2 linked regions of the Sus scrofa genome follow. Each later gene encodes a partner of the first gene's protein in a complex. Links are inferred from orthologs where the notes say so. Each region holds a gene or a part of one and is shown on either strand. Other genes may lie near its edges.

Evidence for each region.
Region 2: RALGAPA1 (region 1) and RALGAPB share a complex: the UniProt entries of both Homo sapiens proteins name them as parts of the heterodimeric RalGAP1 complex. The link is inferred for Sus scrofa from reciprocal best matches to the Homo sapiens genes RALGAPA1 and RALGAPB.

Annotation. Positions count from the first base shown.
Region 1 is NC_010449.5:64,370,342-64,373,275, forward strand, and holds the end of RALGAPA1 (ral GTPase-activating protein subunit alpha-1), read left to right. Parts: exon of another isoform or gene 1-1,016; coding exon 1,017-1,165; 3' UTR 1,166-2,342; downstream 2,343-2,934. UniProt on the Homo sapiens protein: Catalytic subunit of the heterodimeric RalGAP1 complex which acts as a GTPase activator for the Ras-like small GTPases RALA and RALB.
Region 2 is NC_010459.5:41,549,063-41,552,892, forward strand, and holds part of RALGAPB (ral GTPase-activating protein subunit beta), read left to right. Parts: intron 1-833; coding exon 834-869; intron 870-2,078; coding exon 2,079-2,280; intron 2,281-3,830. UniProt on the Homo sapiens protein: Non-catalytic subunit of the heterodimeric RalGAP1 and RalGAP2 complexes which act as GTPase activators for the Ras-like small GTPases RALA and RALB.

The sequences.
Region 1 (2,934 bases):
CTACACTGGTTAATATGCCAAAAGTTTCCCTAGTAAGTAAGGAAATATACGAATTTAAGCCCTCAACTTGTGTGATGTGACACGTACAGATACTTTTCATGTACGTAACACCAAGAAAATCTGGATTAAAGTGCCTTAAAATAAACGGAATTTTTAAAAAATTGTTATTCTGTTTGCAGATTATTTTTGTTTTTTGAAGGGTTTTTATTTTTATTTCTTATTCACGAAATATTTGAGAACCTACAATGTGCAAAGTTCTGTAGTATTGCTGTAGAGAATCATAACTCATAGAAATAAAGTACATAGGGGAAGAGCTATGTAAATGACGTGAAGAATTTTCCAATTTGAACTCGTTTTGCTTCTTTAAAATTTTTATATCTACTAAAGTTAAGAAAACGAAAGCATTGCCTATTGCTTCTGAATTGAGACACTTTGAGAGGTCAGTTTGTCTTTTTCGACTGACTTTCGGAAGAGAGTTCTTGTCCTCCTCCCTCCCCCCGGGAATTTATCTTGCTCCTTCTTAAAAGCATAAATTTAAATACTTAGCATGTATAATGGTCTCATACCGTTAAGTTCCTTTTTGAAAATGTTCGATGCTGTTTTATTTTCAAGTTGGAACAATGAAGGCCTTTTTCTTGATGATACCCTAAACCCGAGAGATAGGAATTGGTCCTTTTCACCTGCTTCTTAAGCCCTTCCACGCATGCTGATGGTACTTTGGATCCCTGTCCTTTCTGTCCCAAAGATTTTGCTTCCCGTTGCTTTTTCCAAGGAGCTGGCTCTGGAAATAATGTTTGGTGGTTTCTTGCTAATCTGATGACATGAGCCACCAGAGCACTGGGTTTTAAATAAAATATTAGTAGACTGTTTTAACAAGCAAGTTTGGGGATTGCTCTTTCCTCTCAAAAGACCTCGTTAAGGGTTGGACCCTTGCTGCATCTGTGTAGCACAAAGGTTGTTTCTTATGGGAGGAGAGACTGGATGACTTGTATTGATGCTCTTGCTATTTCCCACAGGCTCCTACCCAGAGATTCTACCCAGTGAAACTCCCACAGCAACGCAGGTAGATGGGGCTGACCTGGCCTCTCCAATGTCTCCTCGAACTAGCAAAAGCCGCATGTCCATGAAGCTGCGTCGTTCCTCTGGTTCAGCCAATAAATCCTAAGGAGACAGCAGCCCAGCAGTGGCCAGCAGTAGCCACCTTAGCATGCACACAGCATTAACCCTTTCCAGCTTCGTGTTTGCCATAACATGCATGTTCCTTCCTGAACATTTATTTTAGAAAACACTGGATTTAAATAATTTGTAACTTAATATTTTAGATTTGGATTGTTTATTCAGTTGTTTTTCCCACACACACACTCCAAGCTGCCATAAGGGGGAGAGGGGTGGAATTTTATTCTGCACCCTTTTCCTTCCCTAGATAATTATGTCTAAGTAGTTTTAATTTTATAATTAACTTTGAGCCAAAATATAACTGGCCAGATAGTCTCATTATTTTATTTATCTTGCCCCATTGCAACTTTATGGCTCAGTAAATATATAATTTTTTATAAATGTGCATCTTTAAATTTAAACATTTGTAAAGTTATAGCAAAGGTTACAGATCTGTTAATACACAGGATGTGTATGGATTATTTATGTTACGAAAATAAAACACTTAAATGGTTTTTTGAAGCATCTCGAATTCCAGCTGAAATAATTTTAGCATTAACTTTTTCTTCCCGAACCAATATCTCATTTCTTGGCTGTGCAGGCAATGCCATGACACATCTAATAATCAGAAAAATCACTGTGCTGAACTTTGATTCATGTTTAGCTTCCAAATATTTTTCTAATGTTCTGCTTTTTAAATGGTATCACTGTTAAATGCCATTTCTGTTTTGAGATTGTGGCCCCTTATTATTGGCTGCTGGATCCTGGTGTATCTGTGTTCTTCCTTAAGTATCAAAAAGGGAGGAATTGGGGGTGGGGCAAAAGAAGACTTTCTGATATAAAGTCTGTGGCTTAAATTATGTGTAGTACTTTAAAAAAAAAAAAAAAGAACATAACCCAGGAGTCTAAATTAATCTGATGTTGTTAATACTGAATTTGCAGTCACAGGTTGGTATACATTCCACCCACCAGAAGTATTTTCCTACAGTAGATAAGCTGCTCACATTTTGTTTTGAACAGGCATCTCCTAAGGAAATGTAGCATGACATTGATACTAACTGCATGTGTAAATACATCATACTGCAAACTATAAAATATAAATTATGTATCATCATTCATGTAGTATCTACAAATTTGTAACAGTGGAAAAAAAGATGGTATTTAATAATACAATAAAAATATTCTTCTCATTTCCTGTCCATGAGTATTGATTTGTCCTTGTATTTCTTTTGTCTTTTATATATTTTCAGACTTAATAAACAAGGCTTCGTGATTGATGGAGAGATATAAAACATAAACCTAGCTAATCGTGAAAAGTGAATTTTAATTACCTTCTTAAGCTACACCCCAATTTATTTCTCAGAGGTCTTCCACAGTCATTAAAAACACATTTTACACGTTCATACGAGCTAGCCAGAAACTACCCCCCACCCAGTGCACTTGGTTAAAAACATCAATTTATCTCACCCTCATGCTTCTTTGATTTCTTAAATTTTACTTTTTTTTTGTAATAGACACTAAAGAGCAAAACTTTTTACAGACAGTTTCTAAAACAAGCTTTCAGAGTTCCTGTGCTCTTTAAATTTGGGGTTTTCTTATAAATAAAAAATGCATATGAAACTAAAGAAAATAAACTAGAATTTCCCATAAAAGCTTATATAGAGGATAAACATGTATAGAGTCCCCAGGAACAAGAGTAAACAATATGGACAGTTTCCCACAACCAAGGTGAAGAATTACAAAAAGAAGGTAATTTTTAAAAAAGATAAAGTAACTACT
Region 2 (3,830 bases), on another chromosome or scaffold:
TGTTATGTTACCCAGGAGGTAGGAGGCGTGAGGGTATTTGACTGAGTTGGAGTGCTGTGGGTGCCACTCTAGAGGGCTTGGGATGGTGAGAAGTTTGAGAATACTAACTCTGTTAGTCTGGTTTTTTTTGTTTTTGTTTTTTTTTTTTGGTTTTGTTTTGTCTTTTTGTCTTTTTAGGGCTGCCCTCATGGCATATGGAGATCCCAGGCTAGGGGTTAAATTGGAGCTGTAGCCTCCGGCCTACTCCAGAGTCACAGCAACGTGGGATCCAAGCCGAGTCTGCGACCTACGCCACAGCCACAGCCACAGTGGATCAACAACCCACTGAGCAAGGCCAGGGATCGAACCCGAGTCCTCATGGATGCTAGTCCTGCTGAGCCATGACGGGAACTCCTAGTCTGTTTTCTAAGTACTGGCTGCCATCAAGGAATTCTGCCATGTAGTTCACCTCTAACTTAAAATGTTTGCTTCTCTGAACTGGTTAGCTTTAGATTTATATAACAGTACACTATGCTTTGTAAGTGTAACATTGAGCTGGGAAGGGTTAATGAACTAAAATTTTAATGCACGTTCTGGGCACTTCAAAACCTCAATTCTTTGTAGTTGTGTAATTTTCTTTGTTCATTGTTTTGCATGATACAAAAATCATAATTTTGGATCTGAATGCACAATTTCCTGTTTTTGAACTAGCTTGTGGTATCATAAAGCTTTTAATTTAACTTTTAAAAAGCTAAAAAGCTTCTTAACGTATTGTAAAATTTCACCATCTTTAAAGTATTTTATAATTACTGCTGTCCTTTGATTTGTTTCCATTTATTTCTATTATCTTGCAGCATCTTTTATCCAAATTCTTCTTTCTTATAAATCTTGTAAGTAGGAACCAGAAGCTTCTCCTTAATTGCAGTCATGTTTTTATTTTTTTCATAATTCCATTAAAAATTTTGATTGTCATTGTCTCTTGTAGTTTTTGCACTTGGGAAGAGAAATATTCTGTGTTTTGAATGGGGAAGATTGTTGGCAAAAGCAAATTAATCTGCCTGAATCAGTCCCATTATTTTTGTACACTAGTCTGGTCATGTCATGAATTCCAGGATTTTGCACTAACTGTGTTTTGGCTTTTTTTTTTTTTTTTTTAATTTAAAGCTTTAAGCTTATTTTTATACAGATTTAGTGTTTGATTTGTATGCATTCTGCATGTAGTGTTTTTCAATTGTATTATTGCTGGATAGCTTTTATTCAGGGCTAAAAATGGCTCATGGGAAGTTGCATAAAGATTTATGCTTGACTCTGCATTCTGTTAAATCTAATATTACAAAATAATTTAAACATTTCATGTAGAGTGATAAAAGATTTCAGAGTGATTTTCAATTCACTGTGAAATCTTTTGTTAAAAATAAAAGCAACTTTCGAAGGGCTTCTGTTTCAGTGACAGCGAAATATTTCTTACCAATCCAGTTTTCTGATTTATCAACCTCAAGTTAGCTGCTGTCTGTGGTTGTTAAAATTCATTCTCATTTTGCTTGGTTGGGCGATTCTTTGGTGTGTGTTTTGGAGTTGGGTGGGTGGTGGGAATGTTCTCTCTTCCTCCCTACCCATTTCTTATCCTTACCTTGCCCTCTCCCTGAAGTTTACAACCTGGCATGGAATTGCCCATTCAGTTGCAATGTCTGGGGTAATGTGTAAATTGCAGTAGCTGTTTTTCTTATTGTTTAATAGGGAGAGGAAAAAAACCTGAGAATAAAAAATAGAAAAGCCAAATTCTGTGTTATATATCTGTATGTATAGGAATACAGATATATGCAAATGTACTCAATCAAAAATTCAGTTGAAAAATGCTTCTTGTAGAATCTATTAAACTGACAATACCACTGTAAATTGTTACCCCTTTTCAAGGTAGATTTCAGAGAGCCCTTTTTTAAAAAAAAAAAATTAAAGACATAGTTGCTGAACAAAAGCATTATTGGATTCTATTCAAGTAGCTATTAAATGACATCAACATTTGATCTTTGTGTCCAGGGTCCCATGAGCCTATTTGCATATCAACAAATATAATAAAACTCCTCCTTTTTTCTCCCCAGCCATTACAACACAAGCTAGCATGGAGTTTCGACGAAAAGGGTCACAAATGTCCACAGACACCATGGTTTCCAATCCCATGTTTGATGCAAGTGAATTTCCTGATAACTATGAAGCAGGAAGAGCTGAGGCTTGTGGGACACTGTGTAGGATTTTTTGTAGCAAGAAGACTGGAGAAGAGATTCTGCCAGCTTATTTATCCAGGTCTTAGTTTTTTTTGTTTGTTTGTTTATTTTTCCATTTATATAGTTGTGATAGTGAAACCCTATTGTAGCATGGCTGAAGTAGTAGGCTGAATTGATAAGTAAAATGTTGGTTTGAAATACCTGCAAATGTATGTAAGTAATCGACATTTTTGCTTGAATTCTTCCTTTTTTACCTAATGAGATTTGTTGAAGACCCTTAACAACCTTTTTATTTTAGGAGAATTATTTATTTCATCTTATTTGACTTTTATTAATTATGAAGAGATTTGGAAGGGCCACACTAAATTTTTAATACATTTTTACCACAGTATTAGACAATATGGATGGTCCAGAATGCTTATTTTTTCAAGTGAGTAAAGCCGTGTACCCAGGTAACACTGATCCAAGAGCAATAGGAAGTTGGTAGGAGAGAGGCACAGGAAGAAGCAGCATACGTTTCCCCTGGGGATTCAGAAAAGAGTTACAGAGGATTGGATGATTGTGTTGGACTTAGAGAAGTTGACTGGTGTTTAGACTATGGTAGCAAGTTGGGTAGGGTCATCTATCCAAATCTGTGACTTCAATCTTTTTGAATGGCTCTGCCATTCATTAAGTTGCTTATGCCAGAAACTAGGAATCATTTTAGGCTTCTCTAGTCTCCCTCTGTATCTTTAGTTGGTCAGCCAACTCTGCTACTTAACCCTCTTTATAATCTCTCCACTCTGTCCCCACCATGACACTTCAGGCCTTGTCACGTTTTCCCTAAATTAACTTGTAGTGGCCTCCTGTTTTCCTTGCCTCTGTTTTGCCTTTCTCAACGGATCATTCACACAGCTGCTAAAGTGATGCTAATGTCAATCAAAACATTCAAGTGTCTGTGACCCTCTAAAGTCAGGACATGCAGCAAGTTTTCATGAAGGGCAGAAACCAGGGGCTAGAAAATGTTCAAGGACCAAAACAACTTTCTTCTTTTCTGTTTCTCTGTCATCATGGCCTCCCAGAACTGCTTCATTTTCTCTTATCTGCAGACCACTTTCTTACATTGCAACATGCTTCTAAGTTCCTAATTTCCATGGCCTTGGTATAGGTGACCAGCAGGGCCAATTTTAGCATTCTGAATCCTAATTTCAGATTCCTGGGAAAGAGATCTGATTAATCAGCTGTCTACCTCTGGTCTAATCAGCTGCTGCTGTGAAGCCGGGTCATATTGGATACTGGCATCCCTTATGGTGGGGGCACATTTCTTAGGAGGGAGACGATGGATTGGGACTATACTCCAAACAGTATCAATAGCTGTAAGGGAGAGGGCTGTGACCATGAGCCTTCCATCTGGCCCATACAACTGGATGGTTGGTAGTATGATCAACCAAAACAACAGATTTGTGAGGGGGCCAAGGATGAACTTAGTATTGAGCCTATTGAATTTGAGGTGCCTGTGGGATATTTATCAACAAATATTTATTAAGTTCCTACTTTGTGTCAGGCACTGTGCTCAGGAAATACTAGAGTATCATCCATAGGCATGTCCTGTCCTCAGGTGTCCAGTATGCTTTTGACTGATAGATCTGG